Linked DNA regions of Alligator mississippiensis. The protein of the gene in region 2 interacts with the protein of the main gene of each other region in a pairwise test. Links are inferred from orthologs where the notes say so. Each region holds a gene or a part of one and is shown on either strand. Other genes may lie near its edges.

The links. The genes of interacting proteins can lie anywhere in the genome.
Region 1: the proteins of GAD2 (region 2) and LDAF1 interact in binary tests that used the Homo sapiens proteins (3 or more experiments, as listed by UniProt). The two-hybrid records come from large-scale screens. The link is inferred for Alligator mississippiensis from reciprocal best matches to the Homo sapiens genes GAD2 and LDAF1.

The regions. Positions count from the first base shown.
Region 1 is NC_081836.1:46,232,012-46,243,112, forward strand, and holds the start of LDAF1 (lipid droplet assembly factor 1), read left to right. Parts: upstream 1-6,090; 5' UTR 6,091-6,181; intron 6,182-6,660; exon of another isoform or gene 6,661-6,779; intron 6,780-7,021; 5' UTR 7,022-7,090; coding exon 7,091-7,162; intron 7,163-8,316; coding exon 8,317-8,485; intron 8,486-9,425; coding exon 9,426-9,564; intron 9,565-11,101. UniProt on the Homo sapiens protein: Plays an important role in the formation of lipid droplets (LD) which are storage organelles at the center of lipid and energy homeostasis. In association with BSCL2/seipin, defines the sites of LD formation in the endoplasmic reticulum.
Region 2 is NC_081828.1:188,876,854-188,887,779, forward strand, and holds the start of GAD2 (glutamate decarboxylase 2), read left to right. Parts: upstream 1-6,052; 5' UTR 6,053-6,126; coding exon 6,127-6,202; intron 6,203-6,593; coding exon 6,594-6,653; intron 6,654-6,853; coding exon 6,854-7,003; intron 7,004-7,869; coding exon 7,870-8,103; intron 8,104-10,926. Other genes in the region: MYO3A (myosin-IIIa), read left to right, coding at 1,205-1,348, 3,301-3,415. UniProt on the Homo sapiens protein: Catalyzes the production of GABA.

The DNA of each region.
Region 1 (11,101 bases), on a different chromosome or scaffold from region 2:
TCCTGCCAGACCAACCTGATTGCCTTTTACGACCAAGTAACTAAATTCTTGGATGATGGTGTTACTGTGGACATAGTCTTTCTAGACTTTAAGAAGGCCTTTGACACTGTCTCTCACCCCATCCTCATTAATAAATTAAGTGACTGCGGCATTGATGCCTGCACAGTTAGATGGGTAAAAAATTGGCTGATGGAGCGCACCCAGAGAGTAGTGGTGGACGAGTTGTACTCAACCTGGTGAGACGTGAGCAGTGGGGTACACCCCAGGGCTCGGTCCTCGGGCCCGCACTGTTTAACATCTTCATCAGCGACTTGGACGAGGGGGTGGAAAGCACGCTGTCCAAGTTTGCTGATGACACTAAGATGTGGGGCAAGGTGGACACGCTTGAAGGGAGAGAGAGGCTGCAAACAGATTTAGACAGACTACCAAAGTGGGCAGACAAGAATAGGATGGGGTTCAACATAGACAAATGCAGGGTGCTGCACCTTGGGAAAAGGAATCCACAGCATACATACAGGCTGGGGAGTTCCCTTCTTGAAAGCACAGAGGCGGAAAGGGATCTCGGAGTCATTATTGACTCCAAGATGAACATGAGCTGCCAATGCCAAACCGCAGCCAGCAAGGCTAGCCATACCTTGTCATGCATCCAAAGGTGCCAGCCATACCTTGTCATGCATCCAAAGGTGCATCTCAAGCCAGTCCAGAGAGGTGATACTCCCCCTCTATGTGACTTTGGTCAGCCTGCAGTTGGAGTACTTTGTCCAGTACTGGGCACCGCACTTCAAAAGGGATGTGGCCAGCCTGGAGAGGGTTCAGAGGAGGGCCACCCGCTTGGTGAGAGGGCAGCAGGACAGGCCCTACGAGGAGAGACTGAAGGACCTGAACCTGTTCAGCCTCAGCAAGAGGAGGCTGAAGGGGGACCTGGTGGCTGCCTACAAGCTCATCAGGGGAGATCAACAGCGAACAGGCAGAGCTCTTTTCTCCCCAGCACCACCCGGGGTGACAAGGAACAATGGTCATAAGCTGATGGAGAACAGGTTTAGGTTGGAGATCAGAAGGCAATATTTTACAGTTAGGGTGGCCAAAATCTGGAATCAACTTCCCAGGGAGGTGGTCCTCACCCCTACCTTGGGCATATTCAAGAGGAGGTTGGATGATCATCTGTCTGGGGTCTTGTGAACCCAGCATTCATTCCTGCCTGTGGCAGGGGGTCAGGCTAGATGATCTGTTCAGGTCCCTCCTGACCCTAGCTACTATGATACTATGAAGTAAATCCCCTCCCTGGCCAGTTCACTCCAGCCTACTACCAGGGCTGGCCACGCCCCTCCAGCACACCTTCCCTGAAGCCAAGGATGCACTCTAGTGCAGTGTTTCCCAACCTTTTATGCCCCACGGCACACTTACCTAAATAAAAAAGCACCGTGGCACACCGGACACAGAGTGGGGAGAGGGCACGTAGCCAGCCAGACACGGACCAGGAGGGGGAAATGCACAGCCATCCAGACACCAACAGTGGGGGCGTGGCGTGCAGCCAGCCAGACAGCGACATGTGGGTGACACACGGCCACCCAGATGGCATTCTGGGCTGGAGCTATGCTCCCAGTCTGTCCATGTCCACAGCAGCAGCAGGCGGGGGAGGGGGGGGAATAGCTCTAGACAGGCAGGGGGCGTGGCTTCAGCCCCAAATGCTGCGGCACACCTGGACTTGCCTGACAGCACATGCCGCATTACACCGCTTGGGAAACGCTGCTCTTGCGCCCTCCAGCTCGTGCCCTGAGTGACTTCAGGCATGTGCCTGCATTTCCTCAATCCAGAGGGAATATCTTTTCAGTCACAAACTGGTTCAATCTAGCCAGGTTAGACTAACCTGCAAAGATTGAATCAATTCAGGCTCCAGGTTTTTGAATGTCTGCGCCTAGTCGAAATTCTGTTGCTGTCACCCTGTACCTGCTCTCCAGTCTTGCCCATGCAGTTCAACTATCCTAAGGGAGACGTCCCACACAAACTCTTTGCTGTCTACCTTTCAATCTCTTTTTGCACCCTGCAAAAGTGACCATTAGAACAATTATTCTGAATGGGAATGCTCTTTTGAAAAATAAAGATTGATTTTTTTTAGTTCACCTTGGCATGCAAGTCATCTGTATTTCTGTCTGAATACATTAAATGACTATGTCTAAGCCAGGGTCCCATTAAACAACTGATTCCGGTTGACTGTCCTTGCTCTTTTTCCCCTAACATTTTACATTAGTCAAACTGACAGCAAAGTCTTCCTGACTCTTAAACTTTGAGGCTAAAAGAAACAATTATAATCAACTACTCTGATACCCTGAAAAAAATTCCCCTCAGTAATTTCTGCATGCATCAAGCTGATGGCTTCTGGCTGAACTAGAATATATCTTGTAAAAAGATGCTCAATCAGGATGTAAAAACTTCAGCGACCTTCCTCTCCCTTGTGCTACAACCTCTTTGAACTGCTGGTCCAAAGGAGGCACAACCATTTTATTCAGCTGGGGAATCCGCAGGAAGCAGAGCTAGCAAAGCAGTTCTGTATCACTTGCCTTGCCCCCCACTCCCATTATCTGAATGTGACCAAGCTAAATGGTGGATTACTGGAGTGTAGCTGTATTCCAGCCACCTCCAACTGCTGGGATGTCCCCTTTGGTTGCTCAAATTTACAAGGGCTGAATCAGCCACCAACATGAAGCAGAATCAATAGCACAAAGGTGGTGCATTCCCCCTTTGCTTTTGTATTGACCACAGTTCAATTTACCCTGAGGACTGAGACTCTCTTTTATGACCTCCCTGTAGATGAATTTGGAGAATGAGGATGGTTTGTAGGAGGAGGCCTTTGCGCATCAAGCCATCTTTTCTTTTTAACCGCCTCTTCATAGTACCTATGTCTAGGAAGCTGGGTTCATACTGTTTTTTGTATTCGGGCAAAAGGCTGCTAACACTGGGTAACAGGCTTGTTTTTACTGGCCCAACTCCCATGCACACACAGAGATGTCTAGCTCATCTTACCCAGGGCTTTGAACTCAAGTTACCTTACCTGGCATAGATGAAGCTCAGGCAAGGCTGCAGCTCATGGTAGTGGCAATTCAACTTTTCTGTGAGGACAACACAGGATGGCTAGTGCAAACACTTTACTTTTAATCCAGTCACACTTTGCAACTCAGGTGTTTGTTTTGCTGCATGACTACTTTTAGTTCTGCTTTCCTAAGTAGAGGGGAGTTAACTTCAGCACAGAGAACTCAGGTTAATGCTGGAAACAGGACAATCTCAATTAAGACATAATTATTTTAACTATTATTCCTCTGCATACAGCAACCAAGAGGTTTAAAGATTTAAAGTTTGGATGCTTATCTAGCTAAGGTGATCTGACCCCAGCTGACTTCCTGCCCCTGGGCCAGGGGGCTGGACCTGATGATCCCGCAAAGTCCCTTCCAGCCCTAATGTCTATGAAAGTTAAATAAATTACAGAAACTATTTTTTATTGTTTTGCAAAAGCAAAAAGCAGTTGTTTCTTTTGGAAAAAAGGATTTCTAGCAAAAAGAACAATTGTGAATACTTGTAAAATACGTCTCATCTTGATGTATGAGACCCTCAACACCAGTTACTTCACTTTTTTGGAAATAATCTACCATTTCAAGTTTCCATATCAATCTAAACACAATAGGGTCATTACAGTTTACTGTGCCATTATCCTTGGGTTATATCAGGGCCTGTGAAGACAGTCAATTTCACTGATTGAGATTTTGTTCCTTGCTTTAAAAATATCCAAAAATAAACAAATAAAAATGGAAAACCAAAGCTGAAAATCAGAATTGTATATACTCTAGTATCCCAAGCGAGACTATATTATACTGTTTACTGAGATTCTTACTGTTAGCTTTCCTCTCTCTGGGTGTTTCTTGCTCTGTATCTTTGGGACCAGAGCCCAAGAGAACCAATGGACAAAAATCTGAGCTGAGTTGGAGACTCATCCTACAAATTCACCAGAAGGACAAATGTTTTCACTCGTGAAATACCACACAGTAGATGCCTCTAAGGGCAGAGGTTCCATTTACCTCCAAATGAAATGATTTATAAAGCTTTGTTTTACCTTAACGAGACTGTTGCAATCCAAATTAAACACACAACATCCACTGTTTTTTTCCAACATGCAGAGAGCATCTTTAAAGAACTGTACATAAAAAGGCCTTTACTTATGTTACTAATAATCCACTCAATTATTAATGCCCCAATCCACAGTGGAGCAGGATCAAGGCACAAAATGGAAATAATTTCAAACAGCAAGTTTACTTTTTGCCATCTGGGTTATTACTTACTTTTGCATGTCGTTCAACTTGGAAAATTAAACTAAACTGATCAGTTGCAGATAGCAGAGCATCTGTTTCATTGTCCCGTTCGCCTGCACTTAACACAAACAAGCATCAGAGCATCCTGTTAAACACTACTGAAGATTTTTTTTAATCTACCCCCCACACACACTAGTCTATTTCCATTGCCCCTTTTTTAAAAAACTAATGAAACCATTAATATTTAATTGGGTGGCACCAATTAAAAAGGCTGATCAAAAGTAAGCATGAGAAAAAAATGTTCTAGTTTCTTGAGGTAGTCTCATCAACATCACATTTCTGTACAGCAAAAGGAGCTAATCTACCTGAAGCGGTTCGAGTTTTGCACGCGACAGCGGTTTAATGATCTTTAGCCACCTAGTAACTACGATTTCAATATGCTGTATACCAGCAGTTCCCAATCTGTGGTATGCGTACCACCAGTGGTCTACAGACAACCTGTCAGTGGTACATGTTAACAGATTTATTATAATTATTTTACATGACAAAAATTTGCTGGTGGTACTTAAGGTTGTATCATTTTAAATTGGTGGTGCGCAATCTGTCAGTTTGGGAACTGCTGCTATATATCATAACTTAGTGGTTCTCAACCTTTTTAGAGCGCCCCTCCATATATTTTGTGAACAGCACCCTGTTGTAAAAGCTAACTTATTTATTACAGTGCTTTACCTCCTTGCCAAGGGGCTGGGCAGCAAGGCCAGGGGAACAGCCAAGCAGGGACTGTGCCTGATCCTGTGCTTACCTGTTTATCTCCTCACATCTACATCCTTCAAAGGATCCCTGGGTGTCCCTATGCCGTAGCTGAGAATCACTGCCACAACCACCAATTCGCTGCCATCAATTCACAGCAGCCGAAGAATGAGTTCTCACACCCTCCTGTTCCAAAGGCGGAAACTCCTGTAGCTGCAGGACACGTAACTCAGCAAGCAATCCCGTGGACACCCAGCAGCAAACAACAATTGATTTACGGTACAAGCCAGTCTGTTCTTACAATAGCATACAAACTCCCGTAGCCAAAACTTCCCACGCTATATCAGCATTACAATATCCTGGTGCTTTATAAAAAGGTGGGAATCTAAACTTTTTTTTTTTTTTAAATAACGTTGTACTCTTAAGTGCTGTAGATAAACACTCGACATGATCAGCACTCCCTAAAGGCTCAACAACCAAAGTACTACTAAAATAAATCCTGACTGCGTTCGTTGTTAAAAGTCTCATCGCTTTATGCTGCTCTGGGAACCCGACTCCTGAGTTTCGACTGGTTGAGCGGGGTTACTCCGTGCACTTCTGTTTGGCAGGGCGCCGTCCGGTGTCCCCCGCAACGGAGCGGGCGGCTTTCCTTCACCCCAGTGTGTACAGCAGGACGAAGCCATAGCCCACCGCAGGGATCCTCCCCTCCAGACCTATCGACCTGCTTCTCTCCAGCCCACTTGCCAGAGCTGCCATCCTCCCAAGCGCTGTACAACACATCCCAGAGGCACCTGCCCTGGGCCAAGTGCTGCAGGCAGGACGCACCCTGCGGCTCGGGGCAAGGATGGGCACCTCCAACCCGGGCGGCAGGGAGAGGCACAGGCTGGTGCCAGGGCCCAGTGGGGGATGGGGACAAGCCAAGGGGCAACACCAGGGCGGGGCCGAGCCCGTCGCACGCCGGGCCATGGGCGCGCGGGGCGCCCCTGCCGGGCCGGAGCCGCCCGCTCCCCCGCGCGCAGCAGCCGGCGCGGGCAGGCGGAGGCGGAGGCGGAGGCGGAAGCGGGAGGAGGCCGCGTCTCCCTCAGCCTTGCCCAGGCCGCCGCCGGCTGCAGCAGTCCCGGCCCGGCGCCGAGGTAGGAGCCGGCGCTGCCCGCGGGGAGCGGGGGGGATGGCGGCGGCCGCCGCTCCGCCTCCTCCTCGCGGGGCCTGGGGCCTCCTCCCGCGGGGGACGCGGGCAGCGCACGGGCGACTCGCGCGACTAAACCGGCTCGGGGCGGGCCCGCCTCCACCCCCCGCCCCGGCCTGGATGGGCCCGGCCGCTTGGCGCGGTGGGCGCGGGGCTCGTGTCCGTGCGGACAGGCGGGGCGGGGGTGCAGGCGCTGGGTGTGGTTTAACACGAGCCATAAACGCAGTTTTAGGTCCTTGAAGCGGCCTGCAGGGTCCCTCCTCCCGCCTCCATTGTCTCTGTCCTCCTTGTTGCAGCCCCTGAGCAAAAGGGAAACCCGCGCTGGGAGCCTGATTGTAGCGCCAGGGCCCACAGCTGCGACATGAGGTGTCTGGTCTGTTCCCTGTAAGCGCGCTGCTTGAAGCGCCCGCAGGTCAGACTTCAGGACGAAAAGTGGTCTTCAAGTTGATGCTGCCCCCCTTAAATTTTTGGACCTTGGGGAACTGGGCACTTTTTTTTTTTTTTTTTTATGAATAATTACAAGATTGAACCGATAAACTGAGAAGGCAAGAAGCATGTTTATATTCAGGGGGAAAAATGTAATTTTTTTGTACTTGAGGGCAATGTAAGTGAGGTGTTGAGGAACTGGAATGACTGGATTGAAATGTTTTGTAATATGTGGCCTAGATTTTATAGGACGCGCTGAAATCCATGCTCAGCGTCTTTCTCGTTCCTCTGATTTAAATAAGAAAATACTGTTCCTCTAATTATACACAAGCCTGTCAGTAACTTCACTTCAATTGTTAAGGAGGTCGAATGGCCAAGCTGGCACTGATCATCCAGAAGAAGGTTCAAGAACAACCCTGAAGGCTCCAACATGTCAAAAGAAATGCAAGAGCTGCAGAAGCAGTGGCGCTTCATGATGAAATCCATCCACAGCAACTCCAATGTGGGTTTCGGATTCGATTATTATTTGATAGAGTGTGTTTACATAATGCTTCTCCAGCTGTCTTTGCTTGGATGTCACACCTCATTTTATGATAAGGATATAATTACAAAAGTCACATTTGAATTTTTCATCATGAGAAAATTAGATCCCCTCTTTTTCTTTCTTTTTTTTTAAGAGGGCATGGGGGAGGAACAAGCCACCATAACGTATTTTTAATTTAAAAGCATTTCTATGGGATTCATTAAAGTAACATCTGAATGGCTCACAACAGGCAGTAAACATTTATCCCCATTTTACATACAAGGAAACTTGAAGCATAAATTTGGAATTCAGATATAGTAGTATGAAGTTTTAAGACGTGTTGTATCTCTTTAACTATATAAATATAATTAAGATAATAAGTATAATTAAAGCAATACAACTTTGTAGTGTAGATCCATCTGTGGAGTCCTTAATGTTCAAGGGAGGGCAATTTATGGATCTGCTGCTAACCTATAGTCCCTGAAAACAAATTGTTTTTGCACCTGTTTTAGTGTGACCTTAGTACCTGGCCTGTTATATGACTTTCAACATTGAAACAAATGTTAATCACTGGATTAAAAATTACAGTTGGTAAAAACCCCATACGCTATAGACTTGCATACTTCATTTACTGTTAGTTTTTTACTGTTATTTATAGCATGGTTCATCTGTATCACATATATTTAACAGAATATCTTTTGTAAACTATCTTATGCTATTAGTGAGGACTCCTGCTTCCACATTGATTTTTCCCCCTTTGTTTTCAAGTACCATTATGTTCTAGCTTCTAAATTTAGGTGTACTAAAATACATTTGATTTAGCAAAATAGATTATATATCTCCACATCTGCTTTGACATGTGCTGCAAAACTATTTCCTTGATATGCCACTCGTGATAGAATTTGTAAGGCATTCGTATACAAGGATGGTGAGTACAGTGCAAATATGTACCAAGCCAGACGGTTCTCCGTGCTTCTGACATTGTGCAGCCATTGCCTATAACACGAATTAATCACTTGTGTACTTACACAATTATTGTACCCAAAATTTCATTAAAGTAGTTTAAGATCATAAAAGATTTATGAAGCAAACACCTAATCTAATTCAACTTTTCTTCTTTCAATCCCCTACAGGTTGTTGCTTTTATGAACTCTCGAATTGGCCAATACTTAGATGATCATCCTTTTGTTGCCTTGTCGCTGTTGGTGTTTATTGCAGTTTCTGCTATTCCTGTTGCATTCTTTCTGATGTTTGTGGTTGCAACAGCTGTCATGGCCTGTATTGGAGTTATAATCATGGAAGGTATTTTATTTATTTTCTTTTCCTCCCCTTTTAAGCCTTTTTTTATTTTCAGGATTTTCCTTTCTCTCCCCTCTCTCATGCCCAGCTCTTGATCCAACTGAATTTAAAAGATTTTTTCTGAAGTTCTCAGCTTTCAGCATCAACAAAAGTCTTAATGCTGGAATAATAATCTAATTAAAAAAGGAAATAGGATTTCCCTGTCTTGGGTACAGTTAATCCCAATGCGGATGCTGTTAAACCTCTTATCTTTGCCTTGGATAGCTTTCATCTCTGGCCTGCAAGGAGATTTACGAAGAGCATGTTGTGTGGGATTTTTCCTTTTAGATGATAACAGATAGCATGTACTGAAACTTCTCTTCTGAAGTATACCTCCACATACCCTGTCTTCCACCAGCTATGTGGGCCTAATCATTTACTTCACCCTAATCCAAGGAAAGGTCACTGTGGGCCAGAGGATCCACCTGGGAGAACAAATAAGAGGCCAGCATCTAGTGTAAGAGGAATGCACATGGCTGTAATGGCTGTAGTACCTTTCCATGGTGGAGAAGGACAGCTAGGGAGGTCCAGGCCAATGCAGATTTAGAGGATTCATGTCTGAGTCCCAGAGATGCTAAGCCTCTGTGCTGAAGCTCTTAGCCTCCTTCGATCCCTGGAGACCTGAACAAAGCCTGCTAAAAACAAACATCACTCCTCAAGACTGATCAGAGAAAAACTCTGTAGGGAGACTGCCTCTCCTTTAGGGGATGTCATACAACTGGGGACCTTGGGTCTTTGACCTGCATTGTGAACAGAACTAATGTGCACTTTTAAATTACTGCTGGTCTGAATTTAGGATTGCAGTAGACCTGCAGCGAATACTTTCTTTGTTTTCAATATGTACTTGATGTACAATAGTATGTACAGTATTCATGCAAGTAACAAATTGGTTCTTCCTTGCTAGGTGTTGTAATATCAGCAGGTGGAATAGCTCTTCTTTGTGTGCTGGGTGGCCTAGGGCTGCTTTCCTTGGCAGTTTCTGGAGTAATGAGTATTTGTTATGTAGCGTTTACAACTCTGATCAACTACTGGTACACTCCAAAGTAAGTATCAACATTTCACTCTGTACAATAATGTCACATTTTAACTGTAGTTGCACATACTACCTTGTATGTTAAGCAGTGGATAATTTGTTGCTTGGAGTAATAATAAACATCAGCTTTGAATATTACAGTATTTCTGTTTACCCTGATAAGACTTAATATTGGGACCTTCAGACCCTGTTTTCTTTGTAAGGAAAAGGAGGAAGAAATAGTTATCAAGTGTGTCTTGTGTAAGTCTAGAAATAGACATCACCAGTGAAGTGGCTATGTCCCAGCACAGCTGATCTGCTTTACTGGGTGAAGCACACAACACCCGTTTTCCCACCTCTTGATCTTGCCCTGCTTGTAAAGACATGCCCCCAGCAATCTCTGGGGTTACCAAAGATTGTCAGGGGTACATTAAGCCAGGACACTCCAGTACAGTCCCAGGGCTGGGCTTCCAATTAGCTGATTCGCAGTTTCAACCCCTGGCCCCCAGCAGAGCAAGTTCCATACTCTGGTGAAGTCCCAGGGACAGGATTGCCAATCAGCTAATTGGCAGCCCCAGCCCTGGGACTGCATCAGTGTGTCCCGGCTTTCCCTGCTTGCAGAAACATACCCCCAGCACTCTCTAGGCAAGTCTGTAGAAGCAACGGAAGTTGAGGTTCCTATTTCCAGAGCCTCGCCATGGAGATTGCCAAGGGCACGTGTCTGAAAGTGGGTAAAATTAAGTAGGTGCTCCCTGGTCTGGAGGGGCCTAATTCTGTGCAGGAATTGGCAGGGTATACAGGATCAGGCTCTTCAAGCCCAGGAAGTGCCTGCCCAGGGCAGTGGGAGAGCACAGGCTGCTTTGGGCTGTCTGCACTCTCCTGTCATAAAGCAAATCGATGTCGGCTGTAATAAATAGTACAATTTATTACTGCCTTTAATTGCTGCTGCCTTATGGCATGATGGATGCCTGTTTGCTGTCTCTTTGTGCCACTGTAAATATTTGTATGGCTGCACAAAGCGACATCTGTTTCTACCCTGATTAACTTCATTCTGCATTAGTAAATACAAACAGTTAAAATGCTTTACATGGTAATGGCCTAGCAAAGTTCAGAGACTGCTTTAGATTTTAAGGGTGTGAATGTGCTAAATAGAAATGAGTTAAACCACTTTGAAGAAACACAATTACAGGAATGTTTTCTTTTAAAAGAAAACAAACTTATCTACTAAAACTTTTATTTCTCCCTCAGCTTTCTAGAAACTCAGGTACAGTTTTAGCAATGGGTCGGGTTTCAATCATTTGACATTAAATTTGCAAGTCCTACAACATCCTTGGCATTTTTACTGTTACTAATTCCTTAAATTACTAAAGCTGAAGAAACTTGAATAACTAAAAGGCCTGTTACATATGTATGATTTGTCTTTACTTCCTACACTTATCACCTCAAAAAAAAGAAAACAGAATAATTTTACTTTGTTTATAGCCAGATTTGCTTTATGGTTCTCCCACATTAATACTATTATGCAACATTTGTGTAGCAGTTACTGTAAGACAATATCTATTTGAAAA
Region 2 (10,926 bases):
CTAGGACCTGCACTGAGACCACTAACTCCATTTTATCTATTTTAGGTCACAGAACTTCCCAGATCAGGTTCCATCACTATCTTAAGCAAGATATATAGATCTGTGACATTGAAATTAAAGTCTCTATATTACATTGCAAATCTCTTTAGAAATCCAGCTCTCAAGTGGTTTTCTGCTTTCTCAGCCATGGCAGTCTGAAAGAGTTAAATATACAGATGATGATTATCTCCTTATAACTTCTGGATCAGGATAATCCATTCATTCATGACTAAGCCATAGTCCTCCGGGGAGCGTCATAAATCTACTGATATCCCTAAATGCTAGTGATTGACTCCGAATCTCTTGAATTAGCTATAGACTTGCTTACTAATTTGCCACCTAAAGTACATTTTGTAGACAGAACAGAAATGCCTGAAAATCAGGGATTACAAAGACAGTTGTAATACAGTCTTAATTACATGAATTAGAATGGCATCACTGAAAAATACCCAGTAATTTTAGATCTTTAAATGTTAGCGCTGGCCTGAGGTACACAGGTGCGTACAAGCATACATCTTACAAAACCATCTACAACCTATGCAGGTCCAGGGAGAGTAACTTATGTTAAAAAGGACTTGGTGTGCAAATATATATTTGCTAAACCAAATAAGAGATGGAGGTAGGTAGTCATCTTAGTCTGAAGTCAGGCAGGGTCTATTTGCACCTGAAAAACTAACTACATAAGATCGGAATTCATACAGCATCTGATGAAGTGAGCTCAAATTCATGAAAGATTGTGTTCTACCTATATCTTAGTCTATAAGGTGCATATGTGCCCTGCCTTCTTTCAGTAAAAGATATCACCCACAAAAATCTTTGCCTCTCAAATATTTTGAAATGATAAACTTAGGCATTTTATAATAGTTACATTCCAGGGACCATATTTGCTGTGCTTCTGTGTATATGTATGTGTAGATATATGCATATGTACATGCACATATATGTCTACCTATACATAAGTGCATATGTATGTGCACATATACAAACAAGCACAACAAATCAGGTTTTGTGTGTGTGTATTATATATTTTTCCAATACTGTCAGCAGGTAAAAAGTCCTTAGCTCTTAACTGGTAAAATAAATAGCAACCTTTGTTTTTCCGTATTTTTGCTGAGAAAATGTTGAAAAATACAGCTGATAGCTTAGTCCATTTATTGATTGACAGTTTGGACAAGATGCTTGATAGAGAAGATTTATACTACCAAGGAATTTCATCTATTGATGCTGTATCAAAGAATAGTTATACTGGCCGAAGAGAAAAGAGACAACCGGCTGAGCTCAGGAGTTCAACTATAATGGCTAGTGAAGGGTAAGTAAACAGAAAATAATTGTTGGTAAAATAAAGGTTTTTTTAATTCTGCTTAGAAAATGATGATACATATTTATTTGGATACATTTTCATATAAGACAAAACTATCTGCATTTAAAAGCTGTAAAACAACTCATTTTCATGGAATCTTCTACAATAATAATTCTAGCAATTAGGAAATTTTATGCTTAGCTGAAAATTTCCTTTCTTCGATTTTCAGTCTGTCTGAATTTTGGAACAGAACTCTGCCCAGTCAGTCTACGGTGCACATTTGTCTTACTCGAAAACCTGCCAGTTTTGTTCTGCTTCCACAGCTCCCAATAAGGTGAACACACCTCCTTGCTGTAGAGCCTCAGATCTCAAACTTGCATCAAACTAAAGAAAAACTTGAAAGTTAAATTTCTGGCTCAGTCAGGCTTTAAATTATATGGATATTTGCCAAAATTTTGACTGACTTTCAGAGCTGAGACACCGGATTCTTGGCTTCCTTTTTCCCTATTTTACAAAAACCACGTGCCTTAATAACCTCAGCTTGATGTGAGCATGACGCAGAGAGAAAAGGAAGAAGAAACCTGAAGACAAAACCTAAGATGTGTCTATGTAGAGTTCATAGATAGTGACCTCTGTTGGTCAGAAAAAAATTCTCTTTCACACCCACAAATGTATGCAGATACACAAATATGTATGTGAACAAACGTGAAATATAATCAATAGTAGAAGGATTAAAGAAAATTCTAACGAAACAAACCTATTTATGTAATCTAGAGAGACTGCCTGGTTTAAAAACAAATATATTCAAAACAGTAGTAAAAATGTTTGCAAAGGTGCCTTAAATTCTTTCTTTAATCCTTCTGTTACAAATGATTTTTCATGTTGAATACAGGAGCACCACAATTAGCTTTTTAGAAAGATTTGATGAAAGCATGGAATTTTTTAAAAAGAATCCATGTTATAGTAGCAGTAAGTCACAATATGGTTACAGGCTTAGGAAAATTTTGCATTTCTTGGGTCATTAACTTCACCTAACCTTTGACTTTTTGTTCAAAATATTTCTTGGATATAGTTGGGGGCTTGATTTTGCTTATGTTTAAATCAATGAGCACAGTGGAAGCAGAAACGTGCTTTATAGCATGTTTTCCTCTGGCTGCCATCTTCAGTAGCATATTGAAATAACTGGGGTAATTCTAGACATACCCTGATGCAAGTGAGAGCAGATTTTATCCCCTTGTTACAAGCTTATTACTTTAGCATTAGGTAGAATTCAACATTCAGTGACCATTTCAGCGGAGCTTCTTGTGTGGTTTAATCAATTAGGATATGCCTGTGGAAAAATGAACCCTGTTATTGTTTGCTGGCAGTTTGAATTCAGCAGCAGTTCCCTTCATGCTGCTTCCCAGATATTTCAGTGGTTATTCTGAAATAAGATATGTTTCAAAGCAATCAAGTTTGTTTTGAATCACGTTACAGAGAAATACCTGGTTTCACTTCATATGTTGAGACTTAATGCAACTTTCCATTTGGAAAAAAATAAAATTAGATGGTTCTGTCTGTGATCTTTGCAGTTTTGAGTCTGAAACAATAAAGACTTCAGCATGTATAAAAATTGGGATAGCTCAATGATGTCAGCGAAGCCAGACCAGTTTCCAGCACCTGAGAATCTGGTCCAGTATCTATCCAACAAGAATCGATCCCAAGTTTTGCATGCCGTAACATTTTTATTATGTCTCTACTGATTCCTACTTTATGGAAAAAACATGTTTTCCTGTAATGTTTCACTGTACTGTCTATAATGTGTTGGCTCTGAGGTGCCTCTTTTATTCTACAGAGGGGAAGAGGCCTGGGAAAGGCAGCAGCTTTTGCTGAGGGTGGAAGTTAAGCAGTCGATTAACAGTGTTTGCTGAAGCAAATGTTTTTACTTTAATTTCTAAAGCACTTCTGCACTTAATCCTTAGGTCAAGGGTTGCAGAGAGCCCCCTGGAAGAGAGCAAAAATGAAGATAATCCCTATGACTACAGAAAATTGCTGCGGAAAACCTCTCAGCGCCGGCGCCTTATCCAGCAATTCTAGTTGCTGCTGCCATTTGGCTTTTATTAGCATAATCTTTTTTATGATTTTATACCATATGCTTTCCTTTTTTTTTGTATGGCTATTTCCAATATTTCGCATTTACAGTGTTTTTTTCATTTGAATACAAACTATTTTAATTTGTGGTCCCACCTCCTGTTGAAGGGACACTGTCAAGTTAAAAAAAAAACATATTTAAAAAATAATCCACAGAGTTTCCTTTGCTGATGTTCTTAATCCATTTCAAGATTATAAAACAGGAAAGAATGTTTAAAAAGTAGTTTACTTTCTTTAGCATAGATTGTTTTCTACTTTTGCATTTCTTTCATCTTTAAACTATGTAAATAGACCAGTTAATAACCAGTAAATAGACCAGTCCTTTCCTACTCAGGTTCCCACCCTGACAGAAAATTAATTTAACAAACAGAAGAATGAATTAGCTGCATTGGATTTTTAATTGCATGTAACCATTCGTTTTGGTTTATGCCTTACAATGCCTAAATTATAGAGTAAATCTTCATATAAATTATTCATGGCACAGTATATCCTAAACTTATTTCCTTATCGACTATGTACTGTAAGGCTCTGGGGTGGGGTTAGAGGTCAATATAGTGTGTGTAATCTTTATCTGGGAAATGTTTATATACAGGACAGGACATCTAAGCACAACCTTCTCTCCTGCCCCCTCAGCTCTGTGGATAAACTCCTGAATTTTGTTTGCTTTGTTCTCCTTTCTAAATGGGTATTGTTTTTTGTTCAGGCATTTTAATTTCTGGGTGATGGAGAAATGTCGAGGGAAATAAAAATTGGTCTGTTGCTGCCTCGAAGGTAAAGACCAATTGCAATCAGTTCCACCAGGGTGCAAAGGGAATAGCCACTTCAAAAAAAAAAAAAAAATCCACCCAAAAACCTATTTTACAAGAGGCCTGGCAGAATGGATGGAGATAATTAGTGCATTCACACCCAGGTGGAATTCCAGGTCTGATAATTGCACTCTCCCAGCTGTAAAGGGAGAAAGGCAGACTTCATCAAGCAAACAGTCCCCAGAGGGTGAGGGCCAAATCCCGCTCCCTCGCTCAAGCCAGTCGCCCGGACTGCAGTGACTGCCAGCGGCGTCCAGTTCTGCACGAAGCCCTTTAAAGGGAGACACCGCCGCCCTGGCCCCGCGCGCAGCCAGCCCGGCCGCGCCGCTCGCTGCTCGGGGCAGAGCCCTGCCTGCGGCCGCCTCTCACTCGCGGCAGAGGCGGGTTTGCTCTCGCCGCTCTTCCTCGGGTGTCAGTCTGGAAATCTCTTCCTTCCTCTCTAGCAGTAACGCGGCGGAGTAAATAAAGAAGGACGCGAGTTAATGACACGCCTGTCTGTGTCTGAATTACCCTGGCACAGGTGTAATCCCGGGGGGGAGAAGGAGGGCAGCGATAAGCGGGCAGCTGGTGCTGCTGTGAGCGGGGCGCGGGGAGGGACGCTGCCAGCGCCGGCCCGGCTCCAGGGAGCGGAGCGAGGCCTTTCGCGGAGCCTCTGCCGTCTAGCTTCTGCCCGGCTGCCTCTGCTCCCGCGCACGCCGCCCCGGGCCGCGCCGAGGTGCTCCAGGACACGGGCTGGCTCCGACCGGACGGCGCCGCCAGCCCGAGCCCGGCCCCAGCGTGGGCCAGGCCAGGCGGGCCCGTCGCGCCCCGGGCAGGGAGGCTGGGGCAGGTTGGGAGGCGCGGGCGAAGGAAGCGCACGAAGGCCGCCCGCGGCGCGTGCCAGCACCTCCCGCTCCCCCGCCCCGGGCAGCCCCGCGCGGGAAGCGCCGTCGAGACGCCGGGGCCGGCTCATGGCTGCAAGGGGCCCTGCGCGGGCGCGGCCCCCGGGTGCCTTCCTGCCGGAGCCCTCCTGCGCCTCCCCTCGCGCCGGGCCGGGCCGGGCCGGGCCGGGCCGGGGGCGGGCGGCGGCCGAAGCCCGCGAGCAACCGGGAGTCCGGGGCCCGGTAGCCTGCGTGGCGCTGCCCCGGCCTCGCGGGGCCGACGGGGGAGGCGCCGTGGGGGCCACAACCAGGCTCTCGGGGCCGCGACTGCGGCTGTGGCCTCCCCGCGCTATGAACCGACTCCACCGCAGCCCCTGACGGGGGTCGCCCGCCCGCCGGCACTGCCCGCTGCTGTGTGCCGGGGGCGGGGCCGGGGGCGGGGCTGCTCCCCGCCCCCCCTGCCTGCCGGCGTCGAGGCCGGACCTCCTCCTCCCTTCCCCGCCCCCCCCCCACGCGAGGCGAGGACGTCACTCGGGCACTGCTGTGCCTTCAGTGCCGAGTCCCGCTGTCCTGCGAGGCGGGAGTGACGGGACTCACGTGATCCCGCCACAGACCCCCCTCTCCCCCCGCCCCCGTCGGTCGGTCCCGGCCGCGCTCGAGCCGCCTCCCTCGAGCTTCCTCCCTTCCCGCCCCCGAGGGCCCCAGGGGCTGCCGGGCTGCACGAGCGGCTGCGGAGCGGGACGGATCCCGGAGCACCAGCCTCCTCCGCCCCCTGGAAGGCGCCTCCGAGGGCGGCACGTCCAGCAGCCCCAGGCCCGGCGGGCAGTCGTGCCCGGGCCGCGGCGCCGCGCGGGATAAAGAGGCAGCGGCGCCGCTCGTGTCACTGCCGCTCAGCACCATGGAGAGTGCCTAGCGCCGCCCCGCCCCGCCCCGCCCCGCTCAGCCCTGCTCAGCCCCGTGCCGCGCCGCGGCTGCTCGCGCTCCCGCACGGATGGCGACGCCGAGCTCCGGCTTCTGGTCCTTCGGGGCCGAGGAGGGCTCCGGGGACCCCGAGAACCCGAGCACAGGTAGGGGGCGGCGGGGCCGCGGAGCCCGTGGACGCCTTCCAGCCCGGCCGACGGGAAACTTCCCCGGCGCGGGGATCCGAGCCTTCCCGCTCGCCTCGCGCCTCGCCGCGCACCGGGGCCGCCCAGGTGCAGCTGGACGGTGCCTCGGGCTTCTCCACGACCAGCAGGAGCCGCGCCCGCCTGGCCACGAGTCCCCCCGAGGGGCTTGTCCCTGCGGGCGGGGGGGGGGGTCTTCCCCAGGCGTGGGGGGCAAGGGGAGGGGAAAGGCCTCGAGGCCGCTGCTGGGCACGTTGCCTTTCTTTGTTCTCCGGGAGCTGCAGCCCCGGGCGGGCCGGACGCACCCGAACAGCCCGCGCCCCCGCCGCGCCGCTTCATTTCTCTTGTTTTGCAGCCAGAGCCTGGTGCCAGGCGGCCCAGAAGTTCACAGGAGGAATCGGAACCAAACTCTGTGGTAAGGAAGGAGCTCGCTGTGGCCAGTAGCGGCTAGTCCAAAAAAACCCCAAAATATGTAGGCATTAAAAAGAGAGAAACTGTCGCAGGCCGCGGGACCGGAGAGCCCCTGCGCGCGGGCACAAAGGGAGCAGCGGGGCGCGCGATCGGGGCTGCGTTTGACACACGACATTTCGGCTTCCTCTTTTGTCTCCTCGTTAGCTTTGCTCTATGGGGATGCGGAAAAGCCCATGGAAACCGGTGCAAAGGAGGACCCGGGCTCGGAGGAGAAGCGGCCGGCCTGCACCTGCAACACCAAGCCCTGCAGCTGCCCCAAAGCGGATGTTAATTATGCATTTTTACACTCAACAGGTACCGACCGTCCCCTCGCGCGGGTGCTCCGCGGGGCTAATCCCGGCTGGCCGGGCCAGGAGCAGAGGCCGGCGGAGGGGCTGGCAGGTCCCGGAGCCGCCGGGCTACCGCAGCGCAGCCCCCGGGCTCGGGCGGGCTCTGCACGATCTCGTCCCCGCGCTTAGAGCAGATGGCGCTGCCCGGGTCTGTGAAGAGGAAACATTTTATAACATCAGGATTGAAAAAAAATACCTGCACAGCTTCGCCCCGCGGGCTGCTCTGCCCAAGGACGCAGGCAATAGCGACCTTTTCCTAGAGCGACACCAAGCCCCCGGAATATGATCGCTATTTTTATGCTTTTTTTTTTTTTTTTAATTCGGGAAATTCTCGCCAACGAGTGCATGTCTAGCGGGCCCCTCTGCTCCGGCACGTCCCCCAGCCCCGGGTGGGGATGTGGTACCGAGACCTATTCCCACGCGAGCCGCGGGCTCCGGCCCACCGGCGCGATGAGCTCGTTGCAGGGCTGCAGCCGCCCCGCGCGACAAACAGCTCAGAGCTGACACCGGGCACGAGCCTTAACTAAACGCAGGAGCTGCACTGGTTCATCCCGTTGAAACCCTCCAGTAACGAAAAGGCAGTAAACGATCAACAAGTTCTTTGCCAGCCACCACATTTGACCAGCCCCGAAGAAGGGATTTTATTGTAATGCATGCGTGGGGCTCGCATTTCAGCCCGTCACTGTCAGTGCAGTCCGGGCACACGTCTCAAGGTGAAATGAGAAATGGCAGCGGGCTCGCCTTCCCCGCCGCAGCTGCAGGAGCTCCCACCGGGGCCCGATCCCTCTCCCACCCAGCGCCGCCGCTGACATTTCTCTCTTCCGCTTCCAGATCTCCTGCCCGCCTGCCACGGGGAGGTGGCGACGATGTCTTTCCTACAAGACGTCGTGGACATTTTGCTTCAGTACGTGGCGAAAAGTTTTGACCGATCAACCAAAGTGATTGATTTCCATTACCCAAACGAGCTGCTCCAGGAATACAACTGGGAGCTGGCGGATCAACCGCAGACCTTGGAAGAAATTTTGTTGAACTGCAGAACGACGCTGAAATATGCCATTAAAACAGGTAATGGAGCGGCCGAGATTTCCTCCTCCTGCCTTGACAAACGTTACTTTCTGCCTCGTGCCGAGCCTGAAGCCCGCGCGGTGCCGTGTGAGTGTCCGGCCGTGTCTGGGGGCGAGAGGCTGGCACCGCCGCGACGGGGAGGGCGATCCCGGCGGCTCCGGGGAGCGTCCTCCGGCCCCCGGCGCGCACAGACCCGCTGTGGCTCCGCGCCCGCCCGGGGCCGATCCCGGGCCGCGCAGCCCCTACAAGGACAGGGCTGGGCTCGTGCAGGGCGCGGGACCCGCGGCAGGATCCGGCGCCCTGCAGCCGCCCGGGGCCCTGCGCTCCGTGTCCCGGCTGCGGGCGCGGGGAAGGGCTCGCCGGAGCCCGGGGGCAGGCGGCCGAGCCGCGTGGGGCGTCCCCGGCCTCGCCTCTGCCCCTCTCCGCCCCACGCTGGAGGAACTGGATTGTGACCCCATGGCCAGTCCCTGGACCATGGGGATGGGGAGATGTGGACCGCGTTTCTCTCCTCTACCCCAAGCTTAGTTCAGCGTAGAAAGTCCATGCCCAGCCCCGCCGCGGGGCACAGACCGGCTCCCCCCGCCCAGCTCGGGCCCAGCGCCGCAGACAAGCCCCCGCCCGCAAGGGCACCGGACCCCGGGCTCAGACCTTGGCCGAGCTGCGCTGCAGCCCCCGGGCCGAGCCCGTGTGGGGATCGGAGCCTGGCGGAGCAGCAGAGACTGTTTGCTCCGCTGGGGTCCGTTTCCTGCAGTGGGAGCTGCCCCGGTCTCCTGCCGCCCGGCTAAGTGATGACCCCACGTCCAGGCTGCCCAGGATGCTGCCCGCCGGAGCCGCGCCCTGAAACATCTGCAGCCAGTGGAGACAGCTGTGAAAACAGCTGCATTTTGCTGCTGGGGGAGTCCAGAAGCCGGCTGAGAAGTTGCTCTGACAGAGGAGAAGGGCTTTTAATGGAGCAGAGGAACTTGGAAGCGATTCCTCACACCCAAATAAACGCTTTTATTTAGGTTCCCATTTCCCGGGATTCTCTCCCCTTCTGATGTCTGGGCTTCTCTAATTCTTTGCTCTCCGGGTCATAGATCTTTAAAGTTCAAGTTGAGTTGCAGGACTGAGATTGGGCGGATAAGTCACATGGTTTGGGTTTTTTTTTCCCACTGCTCCTTTATTGGAGAAGTCGGTCAGCACCGGTGTATCTGGTGAGAGGGGCAAAGCGAGCTTTGAAATCCACTATCTGCAAATGGTTTGCAATGGAGATGAATCGCAAGAATTTAAATTGTATGGGAACTGAAATGAGCAAAGGAAGAACTGGTGTTTGTCCAGCATTGCTTCCAGTCAGTGTTTTGTTTTTTGGGGGGGTTGTTTTCAGGGGGTTGTTTTGGGGGGGTTTTGGGGGGGTGTTTTTTGCGGGGGGGTTGGTTTTTTTTTGGTTTTGCTAATTAGCAAGTAGGGAATAAAAGGAGGGCAAAGATATGGACAAAGCAAGTGACTATCAGTGGATTTTTTTCTCCATTATTTGCCCAGTTCTACTCATTACTTTCCTGCCAAAGCCACTGGGGTTACTGGGGCCACAATTTTAGTATTTCGGAGTATGGAAAGACTGCAAAGAAATGGAAGAGAATACTCAAACAGAAAGGTTGCTGTCAAATGGTGGGTGTCCTAGTCTGTGGCTTTATTACTGCCTCAGACACTGGCTCCTTGTGTTAGGAGGGGCATATCACTGACAACAGATTGTCTGGCTGCAAGAATAAGATAGCACTAGCAGTTACTTATTTCAGGATTGTATTTTGCAGCTTGAACAGTGTTTGAAAAATGCTTTGAGCTCTTCTGCAGATGGATAAACGTATCCAAATTAGTATATATATTCTTTTTAGAATGAGCACATCAACAGACAGTAGTAATCTACTTTCCATGCTCCCCAGATCAGCCTTTAAGTCACCCCCTTCGGTTATTATCATGCAAAGCTGATTGGCACACACCATTGCCATTATTTTTCTAAATGCTGAAGAGAGCTTTGCTTCCATAACCCAGGAGGTTTCAGAGGTTTACATAAGACTAGAATTGACCTTGGTTATTCAGCAGGGTGAAATAACCCTACACTGCACCTTGACCACTGCAAGAGAGGGATATTCCAAGCACATCCTACCCACCCACACCCACTGGCATAACCAAACCCACAAAATGCAGTAGTGACGTTGTTCTGGGATGTCCCTGGCACTTACTATTGAGACTTCTGTCTTTAACATGCTTAAGAGAGGCTGCAAGGGACACCTCTAGAGCAGGATATGGTCTAGTAAAAATGACTCCATTCATCGGTGATTAAAGTCAAACGTGGAATTATGTTTCGCTACTTTACATTTGGTAGACCCCAGTTTTGAAGGGGAGTGAATTCTGTCTGAGGAAATCTCCACAAGTTCATTGTGCACGTATAAGGCTCTTGGTTTTGAGGACAGTGTGCCTGAGTGAACACAGGGTAGATCTGAGAGAGAATCACCAGCATCATCTCTCTGACAGACAACCCCTGGGAAATTCCCCAGGCCAAAAAATGTCAACTGCATATCTTAGGAACAACCTGCTCCATATTATCCAGCTTCCCCACCACCACTCCACCCCAAGCTGAACAGTGATTTGGCTAAGCAACCGAGGTAATGCTGACAGCAAGGTTCTTCTGGAGTTGTGTGCTATGGCAGATAAAGCAGCCCCGAGGCTGCCATTCCCCAGAATTTCTCCCTGAGTTCCAAGCTGGAATGCCTGGAGTTTCCCAGACCACCCATGGGTCCTGTGGAGGGAAGGGTTGATTTGACACTTCATTTTTTCTAAACCTGCCTG